Diceros bicornis minor: one gene and its partner. The protein of the gene in region 2 binds, or shares a complex with, the protein of the main gene of each other region. Links are inferred from orthologs where the notes say so. Each region holds a gene or a part of one and is shown on either strand. Other genes may lie near its edges.

Region 1 (11,537 bases), on a different chromosome or scaffold from region 2:
GGGGCGATGTGTGCCGCAGTGCTGGGAGGGGCAGGGCAAGGAGAGGTGCCTGGGGACCTGAGGTCTGGGTCTGGGGGTTCTGGTGGGCAGTGAGGGAGTGAAGGGATCCCAGGCTTGTTCTGGGCTCTAAAGGATGCTTCTATTTAGGGATTTGATTAGGTCCTGGATGGGGGGAGTTGGTGAGCAGGGCATGGCCTGTCTGAGAGGAGGGTGGATATTGGGGTCACCACGGGGAAAGGGCGTGATTGGTTAGTTGGGACCCCAAACACCAGGCAGAGCAGTTTGACCTGGATTTGCAGGCTCTGGGTAGACCCTGAAGATGTGCAGACACAGATTTACCTACTTTGGGGGCCACTTTTCCTTTTATTGTGACATACAGAAGATGGAAAACATGCCCTCGTGTAAGAGTGCCTCCGTGTGGTGTGCCCCACCCTTGGGCGCAGGGGAGTATGTATGAACATCTGGCTTGGGTGTGTGTCTCTGTTCTGTGAATGTGTTTGAGTTCGCTGTATGTCACCGAGTGAGTGTACATGGGCTGTGCATTTCTTTGCTGTGTGTGGGCAGCTGGAGGGTCTGTTTTATGGGTCTGTGTAGGTGTATCTGCATTGTATGTCTTAGTGTGTATATGAGAGAGTCATAGATCTGAGTTGCGTGTGTCTTTGTTGTGGGGTCCGAGCTGTGTGTTTCTGTCTCATTGGGTGTCAGAGTGATGAGTGGGTGATTGGGTAAGGCACAGGGGTGCCCTTGCTGCTGGCACTAGGTTCCCATAATGGGTACATGGCCAATTCAATTGTGGTCCCTATCCTGGGGGCCTTAGGGAGAGGCCTGAATGACGACTCCTAGACTGTTGTCCCCAAGTGAATGACCTCTCATTGAACAATAATTAACTTAGCCTTCATGAGAAGAATCCAAACTGTGGTGATGAAGGGGTTGGGGCCTGGTCGGTAGGCCTTATTGCTGGAGAAAGGAGGAGGCCTGAAAGGGGGTCCTGTAGGCATGTGTGTTGTTATCATTCCCTCCTGCCCACCCTGCAGCTCAGTCGTCCTGACTTGGGGGATATTCAAAATATTTAACAAACCGTGAGGCACAGACATCGACCAATCAGAATGGACACAAGCCAGGCACTGAATGGAGCAGCCCTGGAGGCCGTGGCCACCCAAGCATTGCCTCTCTAGTTGCTGGACAATGGGATTGGATTCCAGGAGAAGGGCTGGGGCAGAGGGGCAGTGGAAGGAGCTCGGGGGGGCTCAGGGCAGTGACTGTGAACCAACTATCATGAAAGTGTTTCAGACTTCACCAGCTGGCATGGCAGCTAAACCTGGCCTGCCTTGGCCTCCAAGGAGCTGCCAGGCCAGCACTGGGTCCCTTGCCCCCTCCGGATCAGAGAACAATGGACCACCCTCTTCTGTGGGCTGCAGGAATGGGGGAAGTGAATGATTCCAAACTGCAGAAATTCCAATGACCTTGTCTGTTTCAATTTTGGAATGGGCAGCTTCATTTTCCTCGTTGGCTGTGACCTGACTCTCACTGAGGTGAGAGGGAGCCTGGGGCAGGAGCTGAGAGAGAGGTCCGTGGGGGATTTGGGGAGAGGGAGAGATACCCTCTCCCCCCAAAGATAAAGGCAAGGAGGTGAGGGGGTCCTGAACTGATACTATCCCCTGGATTCAGACCCATGCAAAATAAATCTCATCTCCAGAAATGAAATCGTCATTCCATCCTGAAAAATTAATATCCCAGTTCCCTGAGGCCTGGCTCCTGCACCCCTTATGGTTCCTTCCTCTTGGGCTCCCTCTGATAGGGGCAGGGTGGGTGCTGGCGATGAGATGGTTCCTTCCTCAGGGACAAACTACAGTGTCAGCTCCAAGTTTGTCACACCTTTTATTACAAAAACCAATAACTTAAGTCGTTTCTGTACAAAGTCAGTAGGACTCCTGGCCCAATGAGCAGACTAAGCTTTCATCCCCATCCCAGGAGGGGACAGGAGTTTTGGCCCAGAGGCTCTGGGACCACCAAGGGCCGGCCAGACAGCTGGAGCAGTGTCCAAACCAAGGAAGGCCAACATGGGGTGTGGCTGGGCCAGGGCCAGCTTGCTCTTCAGGAGCCAAGTGCTGTCTGTACAGGTTTGCATCCTCTGGGAGCACTGGGTCACCCCTGGGGACAGGCAGCCAGGCCAAATCAGTGCTGCCAGCCTCTGCACACCCTACACCTGATCTCTGCTTGGGCTGGAGCAGGTTGGCTCAGCAAAAGCATGTCCTCGAGGAGGCCAGCTATGTCAATGTCTCCAATGACAGGGCGAAAGAAGAGGTCCCCAAGCAGGCTGGGCGGAATGGACTTGAGGCTGGAGGCTGTGAGGAGGACACGGGCCAGGCGGCCTTGGCCTGCTGGGCACCTGGGCTCCAGGACCTCACACAACGCCTGATGAGCCTCCTGCTGCAGGTGCCCGACGTGGGAGGTGGCGTGGAGGCCTGGCACGTCTGCGGGCAGAGAAGGTGAAGAGGGCTGGTGAGCACCCCACTCCCAGACACCACAGGGCAAGGCTGGCCCAAGACCTGAGGCCACCAGCTCGGCCTTTGAGGCCCCATTACTACCTCATCCATTTATTTATTTATCATTTTATTCATCCATCCATTTATGGAGAGGCAGTATAGAGTAATGGTTAAGAGCCAGGCTGCCTGGGTTTGAATTCCATGCTGTGTAACCTTGGGCAAGTTACTTAATCTCTGTACCTCAGTTTCCTCATCTGTAAAATGGGGATAATAATAGTACCAATCTCCTAGGCTTGTTATGAGGTTTAAATGAGCTAGTATATGTAAAACCCTTAGAACTGGACCTAACATATGGTAAGTGTTATATGAGTATTAGCTGTTATATGAGTATAATTATTATAATTAATTACTTTAGTTTACACATTCTGTGAGGGCCCTTTGATGAAGAATTCTCGTCTAGAAGCTCTCCAGATTACAAAGAACACTACCTTTATCTGTTGACTCTTCCCTCTCCTCCCCACACCCCCTCGTCTTCATTCCTCTTCTCTACGTGGTCTTTCTGAAACTACAGAGTTTTACCTGTGACTGAGGCACAGCTGTGTCTGTCCACCCTCCCCTCCCCCACTCCCACCTTCCCTGAGGGTCAGGGCATGTTTCTTGGGCAGAGTGGCAAGAGCAAGTCTCTGGAATAGACCTGAGTTCCCATCCCTGCTCTGCCCCCACCTGGCTGTGTGACTTTTAGCAAGTCACTTAGCCTCTCTGAGCCTCTTTTGTGAGATAACTATTTGGTGATAATGAGGACTCAAAGAGATAACAGATGTCAAGCCCTTAGAAGTTGCCTTCCCTGGCTGGGCCCTGCTCCCTTCCAGCCTTAGCCCCCATCCAGGAGTGCCTAGGAGCTCACCAGGGTTGAAGAGGATGGTCCCTTTCAGGTAGGCATATTCCTTGGGGCCCAGCTCCAGGCTCCAGAAGGACTCCAGGCAATACTGAAGCCACTGCACTGCAGCCAGAGAGGGCTGGGGCCGATCAGGCGGCTGGGCACTGCCTGCACTCCTGTTGGGCTCCTCCAGCAGGATCTTCTTGAGTATACTGGGAACCGGGGCTTCAGCCACCTCGAAGGTCACAGTGTCTTGGGCCAACCCAAGCAGGAAGAGAGGGCCCCAGCAGCCCCGCAGCAGCCGCCGCTGATCCTGGGGGTGCAGCTGGCAGAAGGATGGCAGGTTCCTGAGGAAGACCACTGTCTTGGCCAGAACATCCAAGGCCTCCTGGCAGGTGCGATTGGGAGCACACAGCTGGACAGGCCGGTGCTGCCTGCACAGGCAGTGGCCACGGGCTGGGGCCACAGAGGGCCTGGCCCTGAGGCTGGGGCTCAGAAGTGCATATAGAATGGCTGGGCGGCCTGCAGCACCCTGGCATGGGCAGGTCCCTGGCTGGCTGGAGCTCATGGTTGAGGCTCTGCTCCTCCTTCCTCCCAGCTCTCCCGCCCTCTGCTCTGTGCTGTGGGTGCTATTTATATCTCCAATGGTGGGGAGGAGGGAACAGCCCAACAACCTTGACTCCAGAAGTCATGTTCATTGAAAAAAAAAGAAACACACACTGACCCTGGCAGGACTAGTGGGGAAGTGGCAGGGGACAGGGGGGGCCTTGGGAGCTCCACGTGGCCCTGATATTGCTTTAGTCAATGAAGTGGCCGGTGCAGGGCATGGGGCCACCTGCCCGTTGTCCTGGCTGCCCCTTATCGGATGACTCAAGCGGATAAACAGGGTCATTAACCCAGGCTGTACCAGGGCACCAAGGCCTCAGGTGCACGATCAGCAGGTGGCCATGGCAAGTGTCCCTATTGGTGCCTGTGAGACTCTCGCTAAACCGGGAAGCCAGCCCGAGCTGGACAAGCCTTGAACACAAGGCCCAACCTGGAAGTACCTTATCGCTGGCTTATTTGCCTAACCTTGGGGCCCTGCTGCTGTTGTTGGTAAGGAACAGGCTGCAGGGAAGGGAGCCAAGACCCCAGGAGGCTGAGAGGACTTTGCCTACTGTGCAGTCTAGGAGTGGACTGACTCCAGTTTGAGGGGCCCTGCAGAAATAAGGTCCTTAAGAACTCTCTCTCCAGTCTGGATTCCTAGAGCTCCTGCCATCCCAGAATGATAATACAATATGGCTGCTGTTTATTAAGCACCCACTATGTGCCAGGTATTTTTCCACTCTAATATTCAGAGCTTCCCTATGAGGCAGGAGTCTTACTTTTTGAGACTTAAAGAGGTGAAGTGACTTGCCCAAAGTCACGCCACTAAAAAGAGACAGAACCCAGATCTATCTGACTCCAAAGTCTTTGCTTGTTCCTCCGGATCCACTGGCCCAATTGTGTAGCCAGAGCTGTGTGGCCTGGGTTTCCCAGAGCTGGTGACTACCTGGGCCCCCACCTTGCTGCCGCCCACTTATAATCTGAGTAGAAACGTTGCTCTGCCGCCAGCCACATGACTCCTCTGTCCTGGGCATCTGTCTCAGACGGTGGGGCGTGGATTATGAAAGCGGGTGGGAAGGTCCTCGGCTGTGTCATATCTGTGGACCTTGGCAAGCCCAGCCTGGCAAGCCTTCTGCTACCACACCATTGGGCAGCCATCACCATCCCTGGCATCTGCTCCTGGCTCTATCACTTTCTAGTTGTGTGACCTTGGGCTGATCCCCAAATCTCTGTGGGCCTCAGGAGCTTCACCTGGAACAATAATGTCTGTCTGCCTGCAGGGCTGCTGTGAGGACAAAGTGAGGTCCTGGATGTCAAATTCCAAGCAGTTTCTGGTATACAGTAGGAGGGCTTTGCCCCCGCTTCCCTCTGCCTAAGGAAATAAGCCCCAGCAGACAAATGGGCATGCATCTTTCATTTGATTGTCAATAATCTTAATCCTTACATTTACAAAGTTCCTTTCACGTCCTTTTTTTTTTTTTTTTTTTTTTTTTTTTTTTGTGAGGAGAACCAGCCCTGAGCTAACATCCAATGCCAATCCTCCTCTTTTTTACTGAGGAAGACTGGCCCTGGGCTAACATCCATGCCCATCTTCCTCTACTTTATATGGGACGCTGCCACAGCATGGCTTAACAAGCGGTGCGTCGGTGCGCACCCGGGATCCGAACCGGCGAACCCCGGGCCGCCGCAGCGGAACGTGCGCACCCAACCACTTGCGCCACCGGGCCAGCCCCCCTTTCACGTCCTTTTATCTCACTGAATCCTCACAGTGTCCCCTCAAAGGAGACTCTGGAGTCAGACCGCCTGGGTCCAAATCCTGCTTCATCACTTAGATGAGAGACCTTGAGCAAGTCACTTTATATTTCGATGCCTCAGTTTCCTCACCTTTAATTTTTTTTTTAATTTTATTTATTTATTTTTTCCCCCAAAGCCCCAGTAGATAGTTGTACGTCATAGCTGCACATCCTTCTAGTTGCTGTATGTGGGACACGGCCTCAGCATGGCCGGAGAAGCGGTGCGTCCGTGCGCGCCCGGGATCCGAACCCGGGCCACCAGCAGTGGAGCACGTGCACTTAACCGCTAAGGCACGGGGCTGGCCCAGTTTCCTCATCTTTAAAAGGGTGGTAAGAAAGGCCAATAGTGGATATTGGTTTTATGGGGTATGAAGCTTATACAATCTGAAGGGCCTTCTTTAAGAATAGAAAATCAGGTATGAAAGTGAATATTTAAAATGAAAAAACATGGGCTGGCCCCGTGGCTTAGCGGTTAAGTGCGCGTGCTCCGCTGCTGGCGGCCGGGGTTCGGATCCCGGGCGCGCACTGACGCACCGCTTCTCCGGCCATGCTGAGGCCGCATCCCACATACAGCAACTAGAAGGATGTGCAACTATGACATACAACTATCTACTGGGGCTTTGGGGGGAAAAATAGATAAATAAAAAAAATTAAAATGAAAAAACAAATCTCTACAAATTACAAACTAAAATAAGCCAACAGAAAACACAAACATTGCAAACCCAGGAGAATACCAAGGTACTTTTACTGATCAATTGCCTGACAATATTTACCTACGTGTTTTAGCTGCACACTCTTTGTTCACCTCTTCTCATGTCAATGATATTTATTTTGAAACCATCACAAACAACGTTTGCAAGTACAGTACAGAGAACTTTTTTAACCTTGAACCATTTGCGAGTAAACTTCCAACCTGATGCTCCATAACCCCCAAATACTTTAGTGTGTAATTCCTACAAACAAGGACATTCTCCTATATAACCACAATATATAGTGCATAACCATCGACATCAGGAAATTAACATGGAAAAAAATCAGGAAATTAACATCTAATCTCAGACCCCATTTAAGTTTCACCAAATGCTCCAGTGAAATTGTGGTGGTGGAGGGGCTCAGCCCAGAATCTCACATTGCATTTCTTTATCATGTCTCTTTAGTCTTTATCAGTCAGGAAGTATCCTTGGTCTTTTCTTGCCTTTCACGACCTTGGCACTTCTGGAGAGTTGTTATTTTGTAGTATGGCTCTCAATTTGGGTTTGTCTGAGGCTTCCTTGTGATTGCTCAGGCTATGTATCTTTAGCAGGAATATCACAGAAGTGGTACTGTGTTCCTCTTGATACATCCTATCAGGGAGCGTACTTTTCCATTTGTCCCATTGATCACTTTGGTCACTTGATTAAGGTGATGGCTGCCAAGCTTCTCCACTATAGTTCATCTTTTCCTCTTTGTAATGAATCAGTATTTTATGAGGAGGTATTTTTATTTATTTATTTATTTATTTATTTATTTATTTATTTATTTATTTATTTATTGTGAGGAAGATCAGCCCTGAGCTAACATCCATGCTAATCCTCCTCTTTTTGCTGAGGAAGACCGGCCCAGAGCTAACATCTATTGCCAATCCTCCTCCTTTTTTTTTTTTTGCCCCCCAAAGCCCCAGTAGATAGTTGTATGTCATAGTTGCACATCCTTCTAGTTGCTGTATGTGGGACGCGGCCTCAGCATGGCCGGAGAAGCGGTGCGTCAGTGCGCACCCAGGATCCGGACCCGGGCCGCCAGTAGCAGAGCGCGCGCACTTAACTGCTAAGCCACAGGCCGGCCCTATGAGGATGTATTTTAAAACTATCTATATATTCCTCCTCATACATTGAATGTATGTATGTATGTATTTAGTTAGGAACGCAGGGTCTCCTATTTTATTCAGTGGCTTGCAATCTGTTACTATCATTATTTTGATGCTAAAATTGTCACAGATTTGGCCAATGGGAGCCCCTTCAAGCCGGAGTCTGTGTCTTTTTGACATGCCCCATCATTCTTTGAACATCCTTTGTCTTCTGGTATAAGAAGATACCACTTTTCAAGCCCCTGGAATCAACCAGTACTCCAAGAAGTTCTGATTCAATCTTCTAGTGGAGAAGAGTATTTAAAAACCATAATCTGGGGACTAGAATATTTAAAAACCAAGATCTGCTCATTGCTATTAGGGTGTCACTGCTCCTAGGCCGTCCCAGAGCTAAGGAATGTACAGACACACACACACACGCGCGCGCGCACACACACATTTATATTTATTTCTATATTTATTCATACATATACTAAAAAACATGAGTTCAGATCATTATCTGCAGTTCTAATCCACTAAAACAAGGTTCATTCTAGTTTTCGCTCTTTCTGTATTTACACCTCCCTTCTCCGACACTCAGAAATCTGGCTTCCATTATTCTTAATTTTTTTACTTATTGGATAAAGCCACCGTTTGTAACTAATCTTCCATCTCCACTGTCGCCCCCTCCCCTGTGAGATGTCTCCCTACCCCACTTGGGCTCTGATACCTGTGTCAGGTGCCCCCTCCCCCTCGGGGACGCCCTCTTCACGCAGCTGGGGATCTGTCACCCAACACCAGGTGGCTTCTCTGTGTGGACGCCCTCCGCACCCTGGTGGAGCTCTAACTTCTGCTCTGGGCTGCTGTGGCTCCCTCTCTCTTCTGGTGCATATTTGTACCTTGTTCTGCTAATAGTTTTAGGATTGAAATTTTCAGGAGGAGGAGGAAGTAGAGCTGTCAATGATTTTTAAAAATAAAATTCTAGGGCCAGCCCCGTGGCTTAGCGGTTAAGTGCTCGTGCACCGCTGCTGGCGACCCGGGTTCGGATCCTGGGTGTGCACTGACACACTGCTTCTCCGGCCATGCTAAGGCCGTGTCCCACATACAGCAAATATAAGGATGTGCAGCTATGACATACAACTATCTACTGGGGCTTTGGGGGAAAAAAATAAATAAATAAAATTATTTAAAAAATAAAATAAAATTCTACAGTGAGGATACAGTGAGATTCTACTGTGAGAATCAACAGTGAGAATTCTACAGTAAGAATTCTAGTGAGAATGATTCTGTCTTTCCTCTTCCATGGTTGATCAACAAAAAAGTTTTATTCCTGATAGTTAGGATACATAAGACATGCCACTTCACATGTAGATGTATTTGCTACTTGTCGTGCTGCTTATAGGTTTGTAGTAGGAATTTTGATAATTTCTACTTTGTGTAATTCCTATCAAAAAAGAAAAACATGCATGGAGCATTTATAATTGCATAGCCTGCATATTTCTTATACAAGAGAACTTCCTTTTTTGAGTTGGTGTCAATATGAAATGACAATTTCGTGATGATTGAAAGAATTTTGCACAGATTGGCTTCTTGATCCACACAAATTTTTTTCTCCTCCACCACGCACGTAATTCTAGGTGTCTTGGGAATAATTCATATTGGGAAGTGGGATAGAGTGGGAAGAAACAGTGGTTTTTAAACAATTGTAGTTTTAAAATTTTATCTTTGCAAATTAAAAAGAAAAAATATATATGTATTTGACCCTAAGAAGACGTTGCTGGGGTCTCTCCCAGTGCCTTGGATGGGCCCGTGCAGGCCCTGGAATTCAAGCCTCATTAGCCTCACAGAAAATCTGCCTCTAATAGTGCCTTTCCTGGGTGCTAGTGAGACTCAAGTGAGGTGTTTGTGAGGACACACGTGCCTGGCACACAGCAAGTGCTCCATAAAGGAGGGAAATTGTCCCTATTATTGTTGTTGCTTTTTTACCCTCATTTCCTAGAGGATGAGGTTACAGAGGAGGAGACCCAGAGAAGGGAGGAGACCCCTCTGTGGGGGTCACGGTAAGGCTGGGCTGGAAGCTAGGTCTCCAGGTTTTAAGTCTTGCGTTTTTTGCACTGTGGGGAACTGTGTTTTCTGATTCCTGTGTATGGCCTGAAGACCAGGGTGCTAGTCCTGGAGGCCCTGGAGGGTGAGGAAAGGCCTCAGCTGGGATCTCTATAGCCCAGAGCCTGACTGGGGCCACTCACTCAGAGAAGTAGGAGGCCTCTGTGGGAGAAAATGGTCCATCAGCTGCCCTCTGCCTAGGCCCTGCCCTCAGTCTAAAGGAGGAGACATAGGTCAACCCTCAGGAGACCCCAGTCTAAAGGGGGAGACACAGCTCTGCCCTTGGGAACCCCAAATCTAATTGGGGTGACACAGGCCAGCCCCGAGGAGGCCCCATTCTGAGGAGGGAGAGACAGCCCCGTTCTCAGTAGCTCTAACAAGGGAGCCAGGACGCCACATCAGTGGTGGGCGGGAATGCTCAAATGGTACGGGGGGCTAAGGAGCTGGAATTTGGAAGACTTTCTGGAGGAAAAGTTCATGACAATGCTTTCCCATCTGTACAGCACTCTACGGTTTACCAAGTACTTTCACAACAATTATTTCAGTTAATCTTCATGCAACAATAGGATGGGGGTGTTACTGTCCAAGCAGGAACAATAATCATCAACATCCTAAGAATGATAACAAGTGACATTTATTGAGCACCTACTGTGTGTCAAGCACTGCATTATCTGTAAAATTAAAGGACACTCCATAAGATAATGTATGTGAAAATGCTCTGCAATCCTATGCCCAGGATGCACGTTTGTTTTTGTTGTGCACCGAGTCCTCAGACTAATTGAAGGGGCAGCTGGGAGATCCTGGGCTGCAGGGGGCATGGGTTAAGCATTGGAACTGGGAGTCAGAGAGCCAGCACTGGGCACCTTTTCGTTTCCTGAACATGTCATGCACCTTTGTGCCTCCCAGCTTTTGCCCATGCTGTTCCCCCACCTGGGATGCCTTTCCCTTACCCTGTCTGCTTGGTAAGCTCCTGGTCACCCTTAATGGTCTAGCTCAAACATTACTGCTCTAGTGCAGGTTTCCTGTCTTGCCCTCTCCACCTGTTCGGAAGAATAAATTGCTCCCTCCCTGAGTTCCCTGTCATCTAGTCCACACCCTTCAGAGAGCACTTAGCACGGTTGGTGTAATCAGCCACTTGCCTGCCATTAGTGGTGTTCAAATGTAGATGGGGTCAGAGGTCACTAGGGGAGACTGATTGGTCACCAAGAGGGGGACATTCATTATCTTAGTAAATTCACCAGGGTCCAAGATCAGGCCTTGGTTTCTCAGGGAAGAGTCACATCAAATAACCGTCTGGGGCTGATGTATAAAATCAGAATGCCAATTCAGGGAGACAGAACTCTAAGGTGAAGTAGGTTAGTGTGTGCACTCTGGAGACAGGCTGCATGGGTTTGAATCCTGGTCCTACCTTTTCAGCTCTGTGACCTTGGGCACAAGACTTCACTTGTCTGTCCCTGTTTTTTCATCTCTCAGATGGGGACAGTAACATAGGAGCATTGTGTTAAGTCAAGTAATGTTTGTAAAATGTTCAGTACACTACTGGGTACTTAATAAGTCAATAAATTTTACCAATATTTATTGATAAGTTATGTAATGAGATGCAATAGTATCAAGCAAAGACCATTTGTCCATTCTCCAGATATTTACTGAGGGTCTACAACATTTGAGACTCTGAGCTGAATGTTTGGATGAATCAGACAAGCTCTATCTTTGATTATGTTTATATTCCAGTGAGAGGAGATGGATGTAGAACCAAAATTTCTTAATCATATATTTCAATTGTAGTAAGTAATTACAGAGGATGAGCACAAGGCACTTTGAAAGTAAACACATGGAGATGGAGAATTGCTCTGTATATCAGGGTCAGTAAA
Region 2 (11,648 bases):
TTCTTCAACGCCTCTTGCAATAGCCAAGAAAGATTTATGGAGGAAGAGAGAACAGAGGCTTAGTAATGCTCCTTTCCTTTACTTGACCCCTCCACCCAAACACAATGTCCAGGGTTATCTTGGATTCAGCCTTGAACATGAGCTGAGCTAGAGAAAGGCTCTGGGACAGACTCCCACCTGGAAGCCCAGCCTCTCCCAAACACCTCTAGGGATGCTCTACGCAGGCAAGAGTCAGACATCTTGCTCCCCGAGGCCGGAACCTGCCTCAGGATACAGCTACTTATTCGGGCTGCACTTCCTTGCTTTTCATCTTATTGGAACAAAAACTTCTCTGAGAAATCCAGTGGGCTTCAAAGAGCTTCAGGAGTTTGGGGGGCATTGTGGTCTGGGGAGGCCCTGGGGAAGAGCTGAAATATGACGCAGTGTGAGCTTGAGAGTAAGCCTGGGAGAACCATGTGGACTGAAATTGGCCAAATGAACAAGGCTGCCTCTTTCTTAGTTTTTCTTGGAAGCTCTGTTATGTGTATTTCTGTGATTGATAAGAATAGACATACTTAACTTATAAATTCCAAATGACCCGAATGCAGATACGCATAAGCAGTTTGATCTGGGGGGAATGTAATAGTCCCTGAAGACTGTGTCAAACACTGCAAGATAGTCAAGTTAGCAAGTACTTCCCACTGGAAGGATCTATTTTTTTTTTTTTTTTTTTTTTTTTTTGTGAGGAGATCAGCCCTGTGCTAACATCCGCCAATCCTCCTCTTTTTTTGCTGAGGAAGACGGCCCTGGGCTAACATCTGTGCCCATCTTCCTCCACTCCATATGGGACGCTGCCACAGCATGGCTTGCCAAGCAGTGCGTCTGTGCGCGCCCGGGATCCGAACCAGCGAACCCCGGGCCGCCGCAGCGGAGCGCGCGCACTTAACCGCTTGCGCCACCGGGCCGGCGCACTTAACCGCTTGCGCCACCGGGCCGGCCCCTGGAAGGATCTATTTTTAATGGTCCTATAATGGTTAGTGATGCCCTTTGTAGTTATTTTCCTTACAGAAAAATGAGTTCGAATGAAGTTAGAGGGAAAGAGAGAAATACAAAGGAGAACTGATATTTATTAACAGCATGATATGCTGAATTACTGGCACTTTCTCATGCAACTATACAGTTTGCTTTGTTAGCCCTACTTTATTGATAAAAATGGAATCAGAAAGGTCCAGGATTTACCCAAGATCACTCAGCTTGTCAGGAGAGTAAACTGTAAATAGAACCCATGGATAGAATTTGAAAGCCACTGCCCTTTCCTCAAGGTAGTAACTCTCTGCCCTTGTTGATATAAAGGCATTATTGAAAACAATGTTGGTCTACACAGACTTCCGAAAGGCATTCCCGGATGAAGCTAGAATGGCTCTTTATCTTCCTTTCCATTCCACAGTAGAAATCAGATTTAGATCCCAGTGAGTTCTGAAGGGTGGGATGGGGAATTGGGGGGTGGGGGTGGAGACAGCACATGGGAGCCCTGAGGGCAGGGCAGGGTGGGAAGGTGCTTCTGGTCTACTCTAGAGTCTCCTGGAAAGGACCTCTGGATTGTGGCTGAGGATTAGCTTGCAGTTACGTGGTGCATGGTGGCAACTCACAGGGCTACTGAGAGGATGACCAGGGAACTGAGAGGAAGTTCAGAGCATCTACTTGTTACAGAGTCAGTGGGTATGAGGAGGGCAGGGAAATCACTCAAAATGAGTGACTGACTTTAGAAAGAAGACTTTTTTCCCCTAAGAGACAAATATATTTGGTCTTATGGCGGGGGAGCGGATAGGGAAAGAGAGAATTTAAGCACGTCCTCCTCTTTTTTTTGACGCAAAGCCGAGCGTGTCCCCTTCAGTGAGCTCCGGTCCACGCCCGGCGCTAACATTTTCCACAGTGAATGCAGATTCCTTGCTCAGGATCTGGACGTCCGCAGCCTCAGCTCCCCCAAGTTCCACCGCCTCCAGAGGTTTTCTATAGGATTGGAAAGAAAATCGGTCGGAACCCGCCTCCAGGTCCCCGAAACAACGTCCCACAGTTTCCAAACAAAAGCCCTGGGGGAAAGCGAAAGAATTTGCCCCAAGCCCTGGCGCACGCCAGCCACCATCTTTTAACTACAAAAGTTGTCTTCAAGTTGGAGGCGGGTTGGAGGAGGAGCCGCCCCCATCCGGCACCCGGCATTCGCGTAACCCCCCAGACCTTCCGCGCCGCAAGGCCGAGGGTGACGAGACCCTGCAAGTCTCACCTTTCTCCAAGCCCCCACTTTATTTGCTGCCCTAGAGGGACCCAAATTGCTCGACGCCCACAGCTCTGCGCGCCCCGGCTCTCTTTGATCTTAAGAGCCGGAAACCCTGGCGTGAGGGCTGTCCTAAAACAAGAGTTTCCGAGGGTCGGTCCCAGTGCTGCAGGAGCGCCGGAATTTGGAAGCCACGCGACACGTTGCGCCGTCCTTCCCGAAACTTCCAGTCTGGCCGGATTCAGTGGAATGGTAGGCTAGAATAGGCTAGTGCTGAGGATTTAGTTGCTAGTCCAGGTTGAGGAGGGGGCACGGGGAACAGAATGGCAATGCAAATATTCAGCTGGTTTCACTAAGTGCTTGGTGGCCTGCTGGCGCCACGATCGTCCTTGAGAACGTCACTCGATGTTCTGATTTGTCCCGAGGATGGACAGGGGTGGTTCCGAGAGTGGAGCCCCACAGTTTTGAGCTGTAGCTGACTCACATCTCCCTTATAATTACAGAGAGGAAGAGCTAGATTAGATTGGACCACCTCCCCAAGATTATTTCCCCAGTCATCTCCTTTCCCAAGACCGGATCTCCCCGTTCACTTCCAAGGGCACCGACCATACCAAGGCGGGCGCGCCTGGCCCCGTGGGTTGGGGCAACACGCCCCCAAGAAAATGAAGTCAGAAAGTTCTACAGTGAAACGTTTTTTACAGAGCAGCAGATTTCGATAATTCAGGCCAAACTCTCCAAAAACCTCACCTTACCTTCAGGGCAGGGATGGGAGGTTGTCTGGGGGATGGGGTGGAGGAGCCTAGATTACCCAGATAATTGCTCCACCTTGCACTTTCATCCCCAGTAAAGACGGGGCGGTGTGTATTAAGATACTCCCATAGTGATGGTGAAGCAATCGCCATTTGCAGGCTATACCTAACCAGCACTCTTTCAGGGGTAGAAGGTCTAAATTGGCAGTTTTCCTTCCGCACTAGCGGCTGTTGTTAATGATGTCTTAAATAGTTACTTACACACCCAGCAGAAAGGGATTTTTTTTTTTTTAACGAGGCACAACTTCTCACCTATTGAAGTTTATTTTTTCAAAGCTTCGGCCAATACGATGCTTCTTGGTAATTTAGATATCTGTGCTGAAATTTAAGCTCTCTCTTTTTAAAACAAAGTGCTCCGGACGCCGGCGTGGGGAGCCCAGAGGCGGGGCGGATGGCCCAACCCCCTGACTCAGGAGCGGAACTGCGGCGTTCTTGCTAAACTCAATTTTCGGAGAAAGGCAAACGTGGCTTCTGATGGGCTTTCGAGCGGGAGGGGCGGAAAAATTAGGCAGAGCCCGAGCTTCGGTGGGCTGATAAACTTGCTTCTCTTTCCCCTCGGGCTATCCCGGCCTCATTGTGGAGACTGAAAAAAAAACCTAGGTTTCTTCTGGGGCTGAAATGTAGACACGTGCTACGAAAAAAAAGTAATTATTCTGGTTTCTTAAGAACACCAAAAGGTAGGAATGGAGGAGGCTTAAGAAATTGTTTCCAAGGATGTAGGTTTGCAAGTTTGCGAGGTTGCGTGGGTCATGAGAGGCTTCTCTCACCCATGCGCGCGGTAGAGGTGGGTCTTCTACTCTGTTCTTCCGGGGACCTGTGTTTGCCGAGCCCGGAAAACTTGAACCAGGAAACTGAAAGTCTTGGCATTTTCTCTCTCTGCAGCCTGCACGCGTTAAACGCGCGGGCCGACCGACGCTTCTCAGGTCGGGTCAAGGGCAGGCTGTTCCCGGCGCGCGCTCTGAAACGCGGCGCGCAACCGCGGGAAGGTGGAGGCGGGGAGGAGAGCAAGGCAGTTACATCCTCGCGGGTGGGAGTGCGAGACCTCCTCAGCTGCAGCCTGCCAGGTGAATGGGGCGCACAGCCCCGTAACGCTGAGCCTGAATAAAATATGCCAGGACTGCGCTTCTCGGGCTCATCAAGGCTGCGGGAGCCTCCCCGAGCCATCATCCTTTGTAATTGCAACCGTCAATCAAGGCTTTAAGACAAAGTCAGAATCGGGAAGGACGAGCCCTGGAGACTAGTCTCGTCGGAAAGGAGGAGGCGTGTGGGAAGTGGGGGAAAGGGGAGAGAAGTTTGCCAGAAGTTGGCAGAGGGAGTGCAGGAAGAAATTGAGAAGGCGCACTGTAGCTAAGCCGGAGCCGTCTACCCCGGCCTCCCGGGTTCCGGTCTCTGGTCTCCAACACCAGTTAAAATTCCCACAGCTGGGGTGGATTCCCAAGCGTGCTTCCACTAAGAAGCAGAGTGGCTCCAGGTAAGATGCCCCGGGCGGAGGATCGGGTGCGTCTGCCCGCCCATGGGGGCTCTGTCAGCCCCAGCCGGTGGTGTAGCTGTCTCCCAGTCCGCACCATCAACGTTAGACCACACAGGCCCTGTCCCCTCCTTGCATCTCAACGGCTTCCCCTTCCGCGTCCTCTGGGCTCTCCCGCCTCACAGCGCGGCCTCTGCAACCTAGAACCATCCCCAGGTAACCGACCCGAGGCGCCGCGGGCGGCCTCCGGCTCCTCCTGCCCAGAGGACGTTGTAGGAGACGCCCAGGCCGATCCCAGGTCACAGGGCAAGCGGGTCCCCGGCTTCAGTGGGAGCCCCTGCCCACCGGAATTGCAGGGTCAAGGGACCAGAGTGAGTGTTCGGAACGAAGAGGGAGTTCAGAGGGGTGGAAAGTGCGCTTGGAGGGCGGTAATGAGCGCGGCGTCGGAGGCTTGGTGCCGCCGACCTCTCTCTGCGTCGGCCCCGGAGTTGGGAATTCCGCCGCTCCCCTAAGCCCCTTGCGGAGAGACCGAGGAAAAGGTGAGTGTGCCCTCGGGTCTCCGACAAGAACAACTGCAGGGGAAGCTTCGACGTCCCCCGGGAGGATCTGGAGAGGGCTGGCCCTAGGGAGCCCTTCCCTTCCTCGAGCTGGAGGCCTCGAGCGCCAAGGGCTGGGAATTGCTCTGGTTCTCAGAAAAGGAAGTCTTCTCTCGGCTGGAGACCTCCTGCTCTTTCGGTGCCCCTTGGGTTGGCTGCTAACTGAGCCGAGCCGTCAGCCTGGACCAGAGCTTCAACGCAGGGTGAAAAGCCTTGTTCCTTTCCTCTGTGGGACAACTGTGGATTGTTTTAAGTGCAAATTTTAAAATCTTGTCCCCAGCCCTATCCCCCTACACACATCGCCCCTCCTGTTTTGTGAGGAGATGAATGAATGCCAGCTGGCCCTTTGTCACCATCTCTCCCACTCTTCAGGGAGCGTAGTTGGGAGGGCAGACTGGCCTGGACTGAAGAGGGCTTCTTGTGGCCTTAAGTCGCTTCTGGGGCTGAAGCTGGGTTATGAACGTGATCACAAAGTTTGCCTGGCTGTCAGGCTCAGCCTCAAGTGCACGCAAAGATTTTTGCCACACTACAATTACATGGTCGTGTGGGACCCTCTTCCTACTTTCAACTCTCCTGAGTGCTGATTTGAGCTCTGAAACTTACCTCCCTTTCTGAACTATGTAGGTACATATATTCTTCAATCACAACGATACTTAAAACAACTGGTAATACTGGAAATGGATTGACAGTGTGACTTGATACTCTCAGGAAAACCTGAGCATCTTAAGTGTCACTAATTTTGGCAGCTCAAGCCCACTCCCCCTTATGAACTGATGGACAGCCCCCTCCCAAGTTTAAATGGTTTCATGAAACCTGAAGAGGCTACTAAAACTGAAATTTAAATAACTCAGATTCTGAATATCTCCTGAAGAGCAAAATGACAAATCCCTTTAGAGAGCCCAAATTATCTGAATGGCCAGGGGTGGGTGGGTATGAACCACCCACTTCATATAAAAGTGTAGATTTTGCATGGCAATGATTGGAGTATTTTTCAATTTATCAAATACTGTACTGGGCAGTGTGAATGTGTGATCTCTATGCCATTCAAATAGAATAAATTCAGATCTTTTGAGATTCAAATTCACCGCCTTGTGGGTGGACTCTGATAATTACCCGGTCTCACAGCAGACACTGAATATGAGGCATTTCTCGTCTGGTCAGGAGGCTGGAAAAAGTGGTTTTCATCTTGGGATGAGATCTGAAAACTTTGAAGATGTGGCTGGGCTGGTGGCGGAAGAACTTGCATAACAGATGGTTCCTTAAAAGTTTTTTAAAGTGCTGGGCCTCTGGGCTTCATGTGGATCATCCCACCAGAGACACCAGGATGAAAAAGAAAGCCGACTGAGCTTTGCATGTTACCTGGAAGCACAGTTCGCTAAAATTTAGGAAGTCCGCCGCTAAAATAATCTTAGCCGGGCGGGGGGCGGGGGGTGGTGGTTATAAGTGAGTTAAGAAGCCGGGGAAGAGTGCGAAAACAGGGACTGCTGGTCCTCACATTTCCGGCAAGTGAGTGAACTCTCAGCGGCATGGCTGTCCCCTCGTGAGCATGGGCCCAGGGCGCCCGGGGCCCATGGGGGGCCTCTCCGCAGACCCAGTGCCCCGGGGGAATGAAGCCGGAGACCTGGAGAGCTGGCCAGCTCTGTTTTGGAGAAGAGCACTCAACTGAATTCAACATCTCTTTTCTCCTTTAGGTAGTTCAACACTCCCCCTCCAGCTCCTCACCCGACACACACGCGAGGGCACACACCCACACCCACTCACATCCCCATCCCTGCTCCTGGCTTCCCCTCAGCTCCAGGAAATAGCCGCCCTAGCCTTTCATCCTTCGCCACTGCGCTCAGACAGAGGTCGCTTCTCACCAGCTGTAAGACCCGGCAGCTTTTACATCCCCCGCCCCAGGCCAGGGTGGGGTGGGAGGGGGTGAAGGGGTGGAGGGGCTGGGGCAGGCGAGGGGACTGGAGCATGCGCCTCCTCCTCATTGGCTGGCGGCTGGTGTCCGACCCGAGTCCGGAACCCGCGTCCCCATTCACTGTCATCACCCCTCATCCCAGCCTTGCCCCTGCCCCCGGCCCTACTTACCTTCCTTCTCCTTGTCTTCCCCCCTTCCTGCCGGCACGGCCGCCCTCGGGGCTGGAAAGGGCTGCTCTCGGACCCGCGAGAGGAGTAAGGGAGGCTGGAACTTCACAACTGCACACTTGTGACAGTGAGCGAGCGGGAAGCGGAGACAGGGGAAGGGACGGAGAGGAGAGAGGAGAAGTGAGGCGACAAAGAGAGAGAGAGAGAGAGACCCCTGCAGATCCTGAGCCAGAGGGCGGGTGGACGGAGGGGTGGGAGTCGCCCAAGCGGTCCCTCCGGGAGCGGCGGCAGGTCCGGGGCCGCCCCCGCTGCCCGCCCGGAGCCAGCCGTACACGATCCGCCCGGCAGCTGCGCCCTCGCCGCCGCCGCCAGGGCCGAGCAGACCCAGGGCGCCCGGACGCCGTCTCCGCTCGTCTCCTCCCCGCGGCTGGGAGCGGCTCCGGAGCTGCGAGACTGGACGGGGCTCGGGGGTCGGGACGCGCAGCCCCGGAGGAGGCGGACGCACGCTCCCGCGAGCCGGAGGGTGAGCAGGCACCCCGGCCGCCCCTGCCTTCTTTCCGCCGGAGTTGAATCTGTGCTGCCCGTGTCCAGGTGCTGAGCTTCCGGACGGACGCGGACCCCTCTCCCCGCCCGCGGCCGCCTTGTCATGCTGCCTAAAGTGGAGACGGAAGCCCTGGGACTGGCTCGGTCGCATGGGGAACAGGGGCAGATGCCGGAAAACATGCAAGGTGAGCAGGCGCTGCGCGGGCTCGGGCTCCTCGGCCACCCCACCCCCGGGCGCGCCCCGCGGGCGCAGGGGTGGCCAGGCTGGGCGCTCGCGGGCGCCGGGCCCCCTCCCCAGGTGCACGCATAAAAGTTTATGGCTCTTGAACAATGCAGGGCGGAGGTTTTCCAGGCAATGCCTAATTGGCCGCTTCTAATTAAGCAGAGAGGCTTCGAGCTCTGTGGCAACCCGAGCGGGGCAGCTTCAGGCTAAAGATACTTTAGAATAATAAGATCATTCTAAGAAATGGAATGTCTCGCTGGAAGCCCGTGCAGGTTCTCAGTCATTGGAATCTGTGGGAACTTTAACCAGTGCTCTTGTGTGGAGCAACACCACCCTGCCTAGGAAAGTCAACCACAGAAAGAAAAGGAGACTCTGGAAAAGCTTGTCTTAGCGGTGTTAGAATGCATGTGGGCAACCCCAAAAGCTCGGGGGGACACCGGGAGCCGGCTCGAATTTGGACGACTTCAGAACTGCGGGCAGAACTGAAAAGAACCTAAGTTACCCCAACGGCCGTCCTCTGCGCGGGTACTGCCGAGTGAGTGGAGGGCGGGGGCAGCGGTTTAGCTTCTTGCCTCTTCAGTCAGAGAGCTGGGAATATGGAAGTCATATTTGTTTTCCCAGCTCTTGATTGCTAACAAAAAAAAAAGCAGAACCCGCTGGCTATATTTTCTCCGCATTCCAAAATAGCGATTCTAGATCTGGCTGTATTGAGCCCTTCAGAAGTTGATCGCAGTTGCTCTGGGCCGGGGAGGGAACAATGCTAGGAAAAGTCACCGGCGCCCTTCCATCCTCTCCCTTTCCAGCGCGCAGGATGTGCGGGCAGGCGGGCCTGTGATCCCGGGACGCTTCCTGCCATCCCCGTGAGCGAACTTGAAAGGACCGGGAGGTGTTGAGAGCGGAGTTCAGGGCTGGTGCACACGCGGTGCGGGATAGGCGGCGCGCCCGCCCGCCTTGGGAAAAGGGGTGGCGGGAAGGCGTGCGTCCTGCCTGTGGGGTCGGTGACCCTGGAGTCTCTCCAAGCTTCCAGGAAGGGCTGTGGAAGTCCCCTGGGGCTGAGGCCCCTGAGAGTAACTTGTAGGTTGGCTGCTGGGGGAACCCGGTTGGCCCAAAGAGGCATTCCCGCGGGCACCTGGATTCCCGCGAAGTGCGGGCGCGGGGGAAGCCGGATCGGGAGACCCTCCGCCGCCAGCTGCGGAGAGGGACTGTCCTTTGGGCGCCGTGAGGCCGGCGGATTGTTGGGTCCAAAAGGAAAGTTTCTGCCCCTGGTTCCGTCGCGCGCCTTTCTGAGGGACTCGGGGGAAAGAGGCTCAGGGAGACGCTGCAGCAAGAAGTAGGGGAGGCAAGAATAAGGGGGTTTGGGGGGAAATGAGAGAGAAATGCTACTGTAATATTTTCTTTGTAAAGTTCAAGAGGGGCGTTCTTGGATGACCTACTGTCCCAAAGCGGAAAGTTAGCTTTCTCTCGGGCGCAGGGCTCAGGAGAAGCCGCCGGCCGCTCGCTGGGCGGTTGGAAAGCCTTGTGGGAAGCGCCGGGCCACGGCTCCCTCTAGGCCACGCGGCCTGCCCCTCGAGAAGCCCCTGGGGACGGAGACCCCATGCCCTTGCTTGCTCTGGTCTCAGCCGGGGACGCGCCGTAATCTGGCCCGTGGGGGAGCCCAGAAAGGGGACCCGCTGCTGGGTCCCGGGGCAGCGCAGCGCGTCCAACTTGGGGAAACTTCCCGTGCCTGTCTGCGGCCTTAGCTTTCCAAGACCCCACCGACCCCTCTACTTTCTCCAGGCAGGGACTTCTTGGCCCCGCCGGCTTCGGTTCTCCAAAAGCCTGCTTGGGATACAGCACCTGGGGACTCTGAAAGATGCCCGGTCTTGCTTAGCGGCCTCTGTCTTTGAACTTTCCACGAGGGTCCCCACCCCCAGCCCCTGTCCCTTCGGTGTTGGATGTCCGAGGTAGGCGCCGAGGCCGCCTATGAATGGTTGCTTCTCTGTGCGCCTTGGGTGCGAAGGTAGAGTTTACTTTTCTGGGGAAAGAGGAGGTAAAGTACACTTCTTTTCCGTCCCTAAAACACGCCTCAAGGCAATAGTCACGAGTTTTAGGAGAGATGGGACTATAAATAAACTTATCCAACCCTCAGCCTCCCCCAAGCCCCCAGGTTCCCAAAACCTGAGCGCAGACTTCTTAGGGTTGGGACTCGGGCTGGCTCCGCTGGGAGGACTGCGCTCAGCATCTCGTTATTTCCGTCTCCGGAGCCCAGGCGCCTGCCTCTGCTGGAACATCTTTTCCTGAGATCCTCCCAAACTCTGGCTAACTCACTCCAGTTCAAGCCCCAGGCCAGGGCTCTGTGTCTCGGGAAGAGAGGCTTCAACTCAGCCAGTCGGTGCTCGGCCCTCAGCCGACAAGTGCTGCAAGTGACCTCCCCCTCCACGGCCCTTTCCTGGGGCCCGCGGAATCCTTAGAGAAAAACTTTATTTTAAAAAGAAAAAAAAAAAAGAACAAGTCATTGGCAAGGAGGCCACTACGGTGATAGAGTGGCCGGTACTTCGGGGATGCAGTGGGGGCTTTTTCTCTCTTTCCTTTTTGGTAAACAAATCAGAGGAAACTTCTGCCCGGCCATCAGCTCCCCCTCCCCCCCGCCCCGCCCCCTGCAAATGCCACTGATTAACTTAAAACAAACTCGACTCGGTGTTTGTGCGCCTGTGTGTAGCCGAGGTTGAGCAAGGGACCAGAGGCGAGTGCGCCTCGGGGTTTCACAGGAAGGCGCCCCGAGGGGTGCGGTCGGTGGCCGGGCTGCTCGAACCTGCCCCTGGCCGTCGGGACCCGCGGCGCCTGCCCTCCGAGTCGAGAGTCTCAGGGAGGGACTGATCAGGTAGTATCTGGGGTCTCCCGGCCACTGCCCCTCCTGTCCGGAGTTTATCCATCTTTTAGCAGCGAAGACGCCGTCGCGAGGCTGCCTCCCGAGGAAGGCGGTTACCCAATCCCCGCAGTGAGGCGCGGCTACACGGCCTGATTTCTGTTTAACTTGAACAGGGCGATCTCGAGGTGTTTATATTTTGCAGTGATGATCGGAAACATGTGAAGTTCAAGACAGGGCTTGCAACGAAACCAAACCCTCGTGTGTGTCTTTTCCTCTTCTTTACTTTTTCTTTTGTTCCGGCGTCCTCCCTTTTTTCTTTTTCTTTTTACAGGAGATTCTCAAATGTGGGGAGATGAAAGTACCCAGCACAGGAGCCCTGCCAACACGGAACTGAATGTTTCGATTAATCTAACACATCTGAACCGTGGGAGCCGCAGGCTGTTGTAAAAGTGGGGCTGAGGCTGAGAAGCAGGCCTGTGGGGCTTCAGGGTCTCGGTCAAGTGTTTGCAAATTGGTGTTGCCATCCTTCTAAGCGGGGTGTACTTGCAGCAAACTTACTTCAGGACTGGGAGAGTGATGTGTGTGCTTGTTCCTCTCCCTGAGGCAAAAGTGACATTGTGGAACTTAGTTGTTAACTTTATGCAATTCGTGTTTCTCTTTGGATTGGCGTTTTGCAGTTATGTGTTCAACAGCGGTCACTTTAAAAATTTTTATCAAAAGAAATTGGAATTCTTTTTAAATTAAAAAAAAAAATGTGAAGTGCATGCTCATTGATGCCAAAAGATATTTCACTTTCACTGCATAAAAATAGTTCTCTTCAGTATACCTGGGTAA

What was found.
Region 1: the proteins of NR5A2 (region 2) and NR0B2 are in contact, whole or in part, in a crystal structure (PDB 1YUC), measured with the Homo sapiens proteins. The link is inferred for Diceros bicornis minor from reciprocal best matches to the Homo sapiens genes NR5A2 and NR0B2. Residues at the interface, in NP_995582.1 of Homo sapiens: Phe354, Val357, Arg361, Phe366, Val371, Asp372, Gln374, Met375, Leu378, Gln379, Asn529, Asn530, Leu531, Glu534, Met535; in NP_068804.1 of Homo sapiens: Arg17, Pro18, Ala19, Ile20, Leu21, Tyr22, Leu24, Leu25, Ser26, Ser27, Ser28.

Annotation. Positions count from the first base shown.
Region 1 is NC_080752.1:42,663,571-42,675,107, forward strand, and holds NR0B2 (nuclear receptor subfamily 0 group B member 2), read right to left. Parts: upstream 3,932-11,537; coding exon 3,391-3,931; intron 2,475-3,390; coding exon 2,176-2,474; 3' UTR 1,938-2,175; downstream 1-1,937. UniProt on the Homo sapiens protein: Transcriptional regulator that acts as a negative regulator of receptor-dependent signaling pathways. Specifically inhibits transactivation of the nuclear receptor with which it interacts.
Region 2 is NC_080777.1:28,489,934-28,501,581, forward strand, and holds the start of NR5A2 (nuclear receptor subfamily 5 group A member 2), read left to right. Parts: upstream 1-7,173; 5' UTR 7,174-7,327; exon of another isoform or gene 7,328-7,791; 5' UTR 7,792-7,846; coding exon 7,847-7,928; intron 7,929-8,030; exon of another isoform or gene 8,031-8,500; coding exon of another isoform or gene 8,501-8,501; intron 8,502-10,671; exon of another isoform or gene 10,672-10,826; intron 10,827-10,856; exon of another isoform or gene 10,857-11,422; coding exon of another isoform or gene 11,423-11,423; intron 11,424-11,648. UniProt on the Homo sapiens protein: Orphan nuclear receptor that binds DNA as a monomer to the 5'-TCAAGGCCA-3' sequence and controls expression of target genes: regulates key biological processes, such as early embryonic development, cholesterol and bile acid synthesis pathways, as well as liver and pancreas morphogenesis.